Linked DNA regions of Coturnix japonica. The protein of the gene in region 3 purifies or fractionates together with the protein of the main gene of each other region. This does not show direct contact. Links are inferred from orthologs where the notes say so. Each region holds a gene or a part of one and is shown on either strand. Other genes may lie near its edges.

Region 1 (3,749 bases), on a different chromosome or scaffold from region 3:
GGAGGAAGGAAAGTTAAAAGTTGTGTCAGCATAAAAGTTCAGAAAGAATTTCACTTAAAAATAATAATAATAATAATATGACTGTACATACATAAAACAACAATGAAATATATTTTACTCTGTATGCTGATTACAACACCAACATTTGCATTTTTGTTAATAACTCAAACTTTTAAGCTGCAAATACTTACTGCTTAAAGGACAGACATGTACAGGGAATTCTGTTACCGTCTCTACCCCTGGCTTACTAAAACAAACAGTCAATCTCTTAGTCTTCTCCTTGCCATGCCTAACCATCTTACCCTTAAGATGAGGAGATAAGGTAACACGGCCCCCTGTAGAAGCACTATAAAGCTGTACAAATAACACTAAAAACCTCAAACCTGAAATGCCTGAATGAAAATATCAGCAAACTTCCAAAACATCAGCACTAGAAAATGAATCTTCTGTAATTATGCAGGCATAGCAGGCCTTTGCTATACAATATTAGATTTTAAGAAGACATCATGCAACGTCAAGTTAAGATTTTACCTGTAAAAATGTTCTATATTCTTCGCTAGACACTCCTCCCTCTGCCATTCTCATTCTTTCTTCCTCATCCAACTGCTGTGCAATGGAGGATAGCTCAACCGGACTGAAGTACTCTCCTTGTAGCAAATTATTCAGACAGTGTTGAGCACATAATGAGCCTTCTTGCTAATATTAGGAAAGGAAAAAAACACCACTATGTCAAAAGCAATAACATATAGATGTTAATGACGCACTCTGCAGAAACATTCAATGATTTCATTCCAGCCCCCACTTCCCAGAATACTGTATTTTTTTCCATTTTTATTACAGTGTGAGCTGTAGAATACATTCCTATGTTCCATTAATCTGACGATGGAAAAGAAAACAAACATATTTCCTGGAAGAAAATAAATTCTAAGTGAAAATGTTTTGGGAAACAGGGTAAAAATCACCTACAGTTTGTCCAAGTCACACAAGTACTTTGCAACCATCAGGAGAATCGATTCCGCTCCCTTCAAATCATCACTGTATGAAATAAGAAACTCATTCTTTTCTTTTTTAAATCTCTAATTCCCATTAACAAATATTCTCCACAAGGGACACTCTTTTTCTTTGTTAAACTTGTGTTCCCTATGAGGTTTGGGAAATATCTGCTTTCCACATGTGGCTAAAGAAAAACAGAGCATTGAGACTTTGCAAAAAGAGGAATTACAGTTTCCCATGAAAAACAATCCCTCTCTAAAAAATAACAGGCGAGTTAGTTAACCTACGAGTGCAAGACAAGTTTAACATCAGCTATAAAAAGCAGCTTTCCTCTTTGCATCAATGCTTGTTTATATTAACATTAAGAATGTGCATTAGGACAAAGGTGTTGGAAACAAAACAAAATTGTCAAAGAATTAAAACTCCACAGAAAGTAAAGAATACAAGAGTGTGCCTTGTAAGAATGTTATTTAAATGTCCACTCTTCCATCATACAAGTCAGGTGCACAAATCTCCCTTGGTCTCCCTCACAGCAGGATCCCTGAAACTTTATAGATTACAATCCCTTCTGAAGGTACCACCACTCAACTGAATATTGAGTTCAAGCTGGACAGGCTGTACAGCCTAAGTACAATGGAATTCAAAAGTCTCATCTTTCACAGCTTCTCCAGCTTGTGTTTATCCCACAAAAAGAAACTCCAGACTAAACAGCAACTCCTGCCCTGCTGGAAGCACGTTCCTGCTGCTGGCCCCATGACACAGCTGAGACCTGCCAATGGTCACAGATTGTTTCCACCAGAAGCATATGAAATAATTAGGAACAAATCAAGCCTGGGATAACTTTGTTAAAATGAGTCATGTTACAAGTTTAGGCTCTAATTTCTTTGAAAGGGCCCTTCTGTACTGATGTAATAACTTATTAAAAGCAACAACAAAAACCCACTGAACTGTACAGCTAACTCTATTTATTTGTTAACTAAACCAACTACTACGCATAAGAACAACGGACAGAAACCAGTATCACCTAAACAGATCCCACAAAACAATACAAAAATATCAGCAAAGCTGCAGAGTGACCGGCAAAGCAGATAAAGGGCACTGTAGTGTAACAACAGAGGTCGCAGGCAGCTGCTACGTGTGAGCCCTGACACAGCACAGCAGTTTCCAGAAGCATTTGTTCTCCCAACAGGAAGCTCAGCTCAGCTCAGCACTCGATGCCGTCCCTCACAGCGCCGCACACCCACAGCGGGCAGATTTGGTGTCCGAGCTCACGGAACCCGCCCCACGTACCGCTGCTCGCCTTCCTGCTCGGCCACAGACGAGAAGCAGCCCCGCCGGAGATGGGGCAGGGGAACAGGGCAGCCCCAGAGCAGCGCAAGGCCGGGAGATACAACTGCCGCCTCCCCAGAGCGCAGCCCCGCTCCCGCCCCACAACACCTCACTCACCCGCTCGTGGAAGATCGACTCCATGTTTATTATCAACGGCACGGCCTCCGCCTCACATGACCCGCGCAGCCAATCGCGGCTCGCCTCGCCGTGCCGCAGCAGCGCCCCCTGGCGGCGGGAGGTCCGGGCAGCTCGGCAGCACGACGCGCTTGCGCAGTTCTGGAGCAGCCGGAAACGTGCGGTCCTTCCTTCCGTGTGGCGGTGAGTTAATAAAGCGCCATGTGTGAGGTACCGCCTCGGTTAGCTCATAAACCACCTATAAACGCATTAATTCCACACCACACAGACTAAGAAAAAAGGAAATTATTTTTGCATAGTTTTTTTTTTTTTTTCTTTATTACATGACGTCTTTTCTCCCCCAACTCCAGAGCGGAACCTCTGGGGGCAGATATTTCTCAATTCCATGGGCTTCACAGAATCAAAACAGCTTTATAATAGATCACCTTCCATAAAGTAACAATAGGAATTAAAGTAGCAGTGACAAACTGTAGGTGTTCTATTCTGTAGCTTGGTAGGGTCTCAGGAGAAAAAACATAACCATATTGTTTCAATGCATGAGATCAGGTGATGAACAGAGCAGAAAGTTTCCCCCATTCATTAGCAGCCTTTATTTCCAGGTCTTTTCTTCGCCGGGTCTCAGCTCCCTGTGTGGAAAGAAAACAAAGGGTGGAGGCTAAAATTAGGATAAATGGTGTGGGATAATTAACAAGCATTTAAAATGATTCTAGAATCACAGAATCACACAGAATCACAGGATGACCCGGGTTGGAAGGGACCTCAAGGATCATGTAGTTCCAACCCCCCTGCCTGGCAGGGCCACCAAACATACACATTTACTAGATCAGGTTGCCCAGGGCCCCATCCAACCTGGTCTTGAACACCTCCAAGGACGGGGCATCCACAACCTCCCTGGGCAGCCTGTTCCAGGGCCTAACCACTCTCCTAGTGAAGAACTTCCCCCTAACATCCAACCTAAATCTTCCCTCTTTTAACTTAAAACCATTTCCCCATGTCCTGCTATTATCAGCCTTTTCGAAGAGTTTACTCCCCTCCTGGGAGTAAGTTCCCTTCAGGTACTGAAAGGCTGCAATGAGGTCACCCCGCAACCTTCTCTTCTCCAGGCTGAACAAACCCAACTCCCTCAGCCTGTCCTCATAGGGGAGGTGCTTCAGCCCCCGCCCTCCTAAACTTTTACTTTACGACCCAAAGCTTCAAAGGATTGAGTCCTACCATTAATTATAAATAAACCTCTGCTGAGTTAACAGATGGTGTTTCTTACATGAGACCCCAAAGGCAAAAATCTAACTCCT
Region 2 (3,749 bases), on a different chromosome or scaffold from region 3:
TTGAAGAATATCCTGAACACAGAACAAACTTCTTCTTGCTACTCCAGGCTGTAAATTCTCATTGCTTCCCAGCATTCCTGGCCATTCCACCTGCACAGTTCAAACTTGTTTTGGATTCTATTATTTGGGCTTTCAAGCATACAATGAGAAATGTTGCAGATACAGGTAAATTGAGGTTTTAAGTGTTAAGCATGTAGATTGCTGCTTTCTTGCATTTTTAGTCAAATATAGTGTTCCAGTCACACTGTATTTGCTGCAGAAGAACAGTATTTTCCTATCTCAATTTCAAGTTGACAACTAGACACCCATTAACGTACTGAAATAGTTGGATGTTTTTACTCACAGAAGAGGGCATTTGTTTCTGCGTGCTTTCTCTTTATAGAGTGTGAGGTTTTTTCTGAAATGGCTGAACCGATGCAACAGCTCATAGCTGGTTTTCTGCTTCAGCTTTCATTGTGCTGTTTGGAGTGTTTAACTTCTTCCCTCACTTAGGCAGTCTCTAAGTTACTACTGAAAAAGACAGCAGAAAAATGGTGAGTGAATTTGGTCTGGGAGACAGCTATGACATAAAGCAAGGGAAGTACTCCAGACTAAAGGAAAACTCCTTTTGAACAACAGCAAGTTACACTTCATCTCAGGTTTCACTGAGAAGCTATTTTTAGCACACCTGAGTAATTAAATGTCCTCTAGGATGAGAGTTCCCAAGAAAGGCTAGGAAAAGCTGTGTAAATGTCATAAATTCTGAAAGCATCTCAACCACAGGATAAAAATGATTGTTTTGAAGCTACCTCAATACTAGCTAATTGTTTATGTTTGTAAGATGCCTTTGTGTTGCATTTCAGGTATTAAGGTAACTGTTGGTGTGATTTTTTCCCTTCCTGAATTAACTAGTATGTCTTCATAGAGTTTCTCACTTTTGTACCAGTGAAATCATGTGGTTGGCTCTTCGTGGTTCTGCCTTCTAATAATGAAAACCATGTTGGTGCTCAGTATAAATGTGGCTGCCGCCCTCTACTGGCTGCTTGAATGATTAGTTTAAACTGCAATGCTTGTCAGAATTTCTTGGGATGTTTGTCTCACTTTGAAAAGACTTAAGGATGAATGGAGCTTTTGGTATAGTTTGGTTCATTTTTCTTTTATGCAAATTTTTCAGGACTTCAGATACTTTACACTCTGCTACAAAATGTTGCACAAGAAGAGGCTGCTGCTCAGAGTTTCTATCAGACATATTTCTGTGATATCCTTCAGCACATCTTCTCTGTTGTAACAGATACTTCGCACACTGCTGGTAAGATTGTGAACCAGGTGAAAACAAGCCTTTCAAACATCATAGTAATGTTGCATTTCTTGTTCTGAATAATAACATGTATAATTTTGATCTGTTCAGGTTTGACAATGCATGCATCAATCCTTGCATACATGTTCAACTTGGTAGAAGAGGGAAAAATAAGTACTCCATTGAATCCTGGAAATCCAGTGAACAACCAAATGTTTATTCAAGAATACGTTGCTAATCTCCTCAAATCTGCATTTCCTCATCTGCAAGAGTAAGTGTCCTGTAATTGTCTTATACTTTTGAGTGGATACTTACATACTGAAGTACTAATGGATGTATTTGCTGTTAGTGCCCAGGTTAAGCTGTTTGTAACAGGACTCTTCAGTTTAAACCAGGATATTCCTGCCTTCAAGGAGCACCTAAGGGATTTCCTGGTCCAAATCAAGGTATGTTTGGCATGGTTTCTTAGAGAATTGTAAAAAATATGTAGCAGGATGATGTTTTTAAGTTTTTGGACGGTGTTCATTTATAATAGGGCATACATTTTATTACTACTTAAAATTGTCATGGCTCGAGGGTCTAGATACTGGATCATGTAATCCATTTCAGTGTAATTTAATTGTATAGGTTAAGTTTAAATGCATGCTGTTGCTTATACATTGGTCATACTTACAGGTCTAAAATGGCCATAAAGCAGATCTTGTTTCATTTCTGCTTGGGACTAGGGTGTGTTTTGAAAGTTGACAGACTAGTGCTCTGCTTTTATTTTTCCAAAGATGCTAAAATTAAAGATGATTGTACGAAAGTACATGTTAAAGATGTTCTCAGGCTACGTTAGGTAGATATTTCAAAAACTGTAAAGAGACTGTTTTAATGATAAGGTCAAACAAAAAGCAATGTTACTGTACCATGATGCATGGTGAATATCTTAGAAATTTTTGTCTTAGAATCTGATCTTACATGCTGGAAGCAAAACAAGAAATAGTCTGACAAGGATGCGAAGGGAAGATGTTACCAACATTGTTTTTGATATTTTCAGAAGCTTATTGCTCTTCCTGATGCAGTTAAAGTGAAGTAATGGTTTTGTGTGAATTGTGCAGGAATTTGCAGGTGAAGACACATCAGATTTATTCTTGGAGGAAAGAGAAACAGCCCTTCGACAAGCTCAAGAGGAGAAACATAAACTTCAGATGTCTGTACCTGGCATCCTTAATCCACATGAAATTCCCGAGGAGATGTGTGATTAAAAAACAAGTTCTGCAGTTTTCTTTCTGTGCAGCCACTTTGTTGTGACAGAAGAAAACGGCACTTGGATATTTGTTGACCAAAATGACGCCAATTTGTAAATTAAAATGTCACCTAGTGGCCCTCTTTTCTTATGTGTTTTTTGTATAAGAAATTTTCTGTGAAATATCCTTCCATTGTTTAAGCTTTTGTTTGGTCATCTTTATTTAGAATTGCATGAATTGAAAATTATTGCATTTTCAAAGTAATTATTTCATGCCCATTTTTGTGGCTAAGGGGAAAATAGGCAAAACATAAATTGTAAAGGACTATATTGCAAAACTATACAATTTCCTGTAAGAGTATCAATTTTTAATTTGGGATCATTTTCCTTCTAGCCTGCTCTACAGTCTAGGAGAAAAAGTAATGAGTAAAACAGTTTTAATTAATTGTTAAGCAGAGGATTATAGTGCTGCAATTTTTCTGATCAATTAGCAGCTTTTTGGATTTGAGTGGGTAAAGGCTAGGCTTACATGTATTTGCAAGTTGTATGGCAAGTTTGCAGCAAGATCATGTGCATATCATCCCATTGTAAAGCAACTTCTAAAGCGTATGGGAACACAGTACAGTTAGTTATTTTTACACAGTTCTTTTGTTTTTGTGTGTGTGCTGTCGCTTTGTCGACAACAGCTTTTTGTTTTCCTCAATGAGGAGTGTTGCTCATTTGTGAGCCTTCATTAACTCGAAGTGAAATGGTTAAAATATTTATCCTGTTAGAATAGGCTGCATCTTTTTAACTACTCATAAAATAAAAAAACCCTCTGGCTTTTGAGATGACTTATACTAATTTACATTGTTTACCATGCTGTAGTGCTTAAAGAACACTACTTAAAAGCAAAATAAACTTGGTTTACATTTATTTTTCTTTCTTCGGCTTATTCTTTTATTGGATGAAAATGCTGTGATCGTATTAAAGGTTTGTATCCTGAAGGCATAGGAAATGGTCCTTGAGGTCTAGGTTACCATTCTTTCTGATTTCTCCTGATCTCAAGGCTGAGCTTGAAAGCTAACATGAAACAAGTTGGGTTCTATTTGAAAGTGTAGTTTTGACTTAACACCATGACTAAAAATACTCCATACTACATTGCTATAGAATGCCAGTAATAAGGTATTCTTGCTCTCAATATATGTACTCTTTGTGTTCTATTCCAAAGAGTTATTGAACTGTATCTTGACTAGAAATTCATAC
Region 3 (3,749 bases):
CAAGAATTTTGCACCTTGTCCTGCAGACACCACGCCAGAGCAAGATGTGCCAGAATCAACACCACTGCTCTCCCGTGCTCACAGTAACACAGCTCTGGTTTTAGTATCAACTGATTCCTGAGTGCTTGAACAAGTGTCCTTTGAGGACAGGCTTTCTCTGCTATCACAGTCAAACACCCCGTCAGTTCCTTGTAAGTGCAGTGACAGCTTTAATGCTGTGGAAGAGGAAGGCTGGGGAGCTGTCAGCAGTGTGGAGGTTCCTGGCATAGCTGGAATGACTGTTATTTGCACAAAGCTGTCAGAGGAATGTGCACTTGCATCAGCATAATCTCCTGGTCACTGAGTTCAGACACCAGTTACAGGGAAGTTGCTGGTTTGGAGTGTCACAGAGAGCATGGCCTAACTGCAACGGGACAGAGGAATGCAGATGGGGTGTGTGAGCACACAAAGGAAGAGACAGCAGCAGCAGCATCCCCATACCTTAAAGTAATGGTTTATCCCTTCTGTGCTATGTGAGATGATGCCTCTGACAGAAGTGCTTTTCAGTCCTTTTAAAGAGGTAACACCCACAAGAGGACACCTTGTATGTACATGGAAACAAGCAAGTACATTTGCATACAGATACACACAACTAGAAAGGCACGGAGCTGAAGCATACAGCCTCATGGAGAGCAGCCTTTCCCCAGGGCACGTGAAGCAGACGACGGGCTCTGGGGACAAGGAGCAGCCAGACCTGGGTTGTGAATCAGACACTGTGACCTGGATCTGCGCCACTTGGCACAGGAATCAAACCCCTAAGCAGCCAAAACAGTTCAGATACAATCCCTCAGAGCTGAGGTGCCAATAAGCCAGCTAAGAACAAAGGAAGCAGCCCCAGCGCATTCAGCAGCTCAGACAAAGTATTCTGCAGGTTGAAATGTACAGCAGCCATCTCAGAAGCATCGAGCAGGCACATGCTTCTCAGCACCCCTGCCTCACTCCTGTACTGTGAGACATAGCAGCCCGTACTGCAGAGCTTTCTTTGCTCTGTACTAGAGAACAGACAGCAAAGTGAACAAGGATTCACAGGAAAGGGGCTGAGCTCAACGCCCCTTATGCCAAGTGAAACAAAGTATTTCACCATACGGGTACCACACATTTGTGGTGAGATTCCTTTCCTCTCTTGAGATATAAAAAACCAGTAGCTTTCTTTTTGATCATCACTAGATGTTGACTATGTTTTTACAGGATTACACAGCTCAGCATTCAGGAGAAAAAACATCTCCCCAATCATAACATCAGTAAAGCGTTGGACTATGTTGAGTGAACTGGCTGGGTTGCAAGGATGTTAAAAGACATGTATGAAGCATGGAACAGGATGAACAAACTCCATTCAGGCACTAAGATGGAGCCATCAGCCTCCGGAGGGCTTTTTTCTATCAGCTTATGATAACAAACAGCCCATGCTGACTACTGGCTCTGCCTAGAGGCAGCTCCAGGCCCATTAGTTTGACACCCATTAGCACCAGCTAGAAACAGCTCAGCACAGCACTGACAGGCAGCTGTGACACCATGCCCTCAGAGCTCAGGCAGGCCCAGACTTATAGCCACATCTATGAGCAGGCTGTGACCTGCTGGGTCCAGTATCACAGAATTACCAAGGTTGGAAAAGACCTAGAAGATCATCTAGTCCAACCATTACCAATACTTCCCAGCTAAATCATATTCATCAACACCACATCCAAGCGTTTCTTGAACACTCCCATGGTTGGTGACTCCACCACCTCCCTGGGCAGTGCATTCCAATGCCTCACTACCCTTTCTGAGAAGTAATACTTCCTAATATCCAGCCTGAATCTCCCCTGGTGTAGCTTAAAAACATTCCCTCTAGTTCTATCACTGATTACACGATAGAAGAGGCCAACCCCCAGCTCACTACAACCTCCCTTCAGGAAGTTATAGAGAGCTATAAGGTCTCCCCAGAGCCTCCTCTTCTCCAGGCTGAACAATCCCAGCTCCCTCAACCTCTCCTCATACGTTCTGTGCTCCAGACCCCTCACCAGCTTTGTAACCCTCCTCTGAACGCATTCCAGGGCCTCAATGTGTTTCTTGCAGTGAGTACGGAGCTGAAGGGGACAAGAAAAACCAACTGGACGTTCAAATGGAGAACCCAGCAATGCAGGTGAAGCCTCAGCATTGAAGTACCTGGGCTTGGTACATGGGAATGAGGGACAGCAGCTCAGCTCTGTGCCTGGAGGCCCCACATCCCACCTCCCGTGCCCTGCATCCCCCCGTATTGCGATGCTTACGATCATCTTCTTGTAGAGGCCGTAGTGCAGCACCAGGCTGTGTGTGAGCGCCAGGCGGTGCGGCTTCATGGGGTGCCCGGCTCCTGCAACGAAGGGAAACCATACAGGGGTCAGGGATAGGCCCAGGTTAGGAATAGGCCCGGAGCAGGGGATAGGCCCGGAGCAGGGGATAGGCCCGAGTGTGGCACAGGCCGCTCCAGAGCACAGGTACCGCCCTGCAGCCCCCACCCCGAGCCGGGATCGGGCCCATAGCAGCTCGGTGCCCACCCAGCCCCGCACCATAATGGAAATTGCCGACGTCCGGGTCGTAGAAATAGGCCACGGTCTTCGCCATAACGAACAGGCCGCCACCACCGCCCCGCGCCCCTTTACGTCATCACTCCGCGACCTGATGGCGATTGTCTGAGCGTCAACTCTCGCGAGATGTGGGCGGTAAATGGGCGGAGATAGAGCGCTATGGGGGCGGGGCTCCATGGGGATGAGGACACTGCAGTGTAACCCTATGGGGATAAAGACTTTGGGTTTGGGGCACAATGGGGATGTAGGTCTAGGGGAATCCTGGGTCCAGAGCCAGCACATCATACCCCTGTAATGCCCCATAAGTGGTGATGGAAGGAAAGAAGGATGGGGGAGAAGCTCTATGGGATGGGGTACCCCTGTGAGGTGCCTGGCAGGAGCAGAGCTCACTCCTTGTCTGCTCCTTGTCTGCTTCCAGCTCCTCCCATGCGGGTTCCCCTGGGCATGGGAAAGGGGATGGCGTGAGCAGGACTGATTGCAGCCCCTGCTTGGACTGCTATGCAGAAATGCACTGGGTGGGCGGAAGCACCAGGGAACAGAAAGGGGTTTATTGTGAAGGATGGTGTGGGCATGGGAACAGATGGGGATCAGCCTCACTATAGGGCTCAGGAAAACCCAGGACCTGCAAGGAGAAGCAAAGAGCAAACCACTTTTAATGTCCCAGTCATCAGGCTATGCAGTGCTGTATGTCATTGCAGTGTGTTGAGCTGAGATCAGGAGCTCTCTCAAGCAGCCATCCTGGCCTCATGCCCATTGTCTCCCCTTGTCAGGGCTGTTGTGCTTCCATTCCGTCCTGGGACAGCAGACAGAAGGGTGGCACTGGTGACTTGGTGACCTTCCCAAGTCATGGGATGCAGGATGGTCTGTGGCTCTTTGCAGCCACTGCCAGGTCTCCTATGGCCACTTCTGGATGGGAAAGAGTGATCTGGTGGTGGTACAACTGAGGGCTGTGGGTCACCCACCTGCATACATCCTCATGGGCTCAGCTGCACGAGGAGTCTCTGGTGGCGGTGGGATGGGGCTGGTGTCACCAGGGCTCACAAGAGCACAGGGTGGATTTGGGTGCAGGATCCAGAGGTGTCATTTGCAGCAGCGAAGACTTGGGGTGAAACCTCCCAGACTGAGGTCAGAGAGGGAGGTTGTGGCACTGGAATGTTGAACAGC

The links.
Region 1: the proteins of HDAC3 (region 3) and ATXN3 purify together in Homo sapiens (affinity purification with western blotting; 3 studies listed by BioGRID). This does not show direct contact. The link is inferred for Coturnix japonica from reciprocal best matches to the Homo sapiens genes HDAC3 and ATXN3.
Region 2: the proteins of HDAC3 (region 3) and XPO1 purify together in Homo sapiens (affinity purification with western blotting; 3 studies listed by BioGRID, with this or other methods). This does not show direct contact. The link is inferred for Coturnix japonica from reciprocal best matches to the Homo sapiens genes HDAC3 and XPO1.

What each region holds. Positions count from the first base shown.
Region 1 is NC_029520.1:40,426,697-40,430,445, forward strand, and holds the start of ATXN3 (ataxin-3), read right to left. Parts: upstream 2,552-3,749; 5' UTR 2,464-2,551; coding exon 2,440-2,463; intron 2,305-2,439; exon of another isoform or gene 2,284-2,304; intron 697-2,283; coding exon 532-696; intron 1-531. Other genes in the region: NDUFB1 (NADH dehydrogenase [ubiquinone] 1 beta subcomplex subunit 1), read right to left, coding at 3,047-3,083. UniProt on the Homo sapiens protein: Deubiquitinating enzyme involved in protein homeostasis maintenance, transcription, cytoskeleton regulation, myogenesis and degradation of misfolded chaperone substrates.
Region 2 is NC_029518.1:5,218,572-5,222,320, forward strand, and holds the end of XPO1 (exportin-1), read left to right. Parts: coding exon 1-165; intron 166-1,153; coding exon 1,154-1,288; intron 1,289-1,387; coding exon 1,388-1,547; intron 1,548-1,625; coding exon 1,626-1,722; intron 1,723-2,376; coding exon 2,377-2,523; 3' UTR 2,524-3,490; downstream 3,491-3,749. UniProt on the Homo sapiens protein: Mediates the nuclear export of cellular proteins (cargos) bearing a leucine-rich nuclear export signal (NES) and of RNAs.
Region 3 is NC_029528.1:14,733,456-14,737,204, reverse strand, and holds the start of HDAC3 (histone deacetylase 3), read right to left. Parts: upstream 2,720-3,749; 5' UTR 2,623-2,719; coding exon 2,568-2,622; intron 2,372-2,567; coding exon 2,289-2,371; intron 1-2,288. UniProt on the Homo sapiens protein: Histone deacetylase that catalyzes the deacetylation of lysine residues on the N-terminal part of the core histones (H2A, H2B, H3 and H4), and some other non-histone substrates.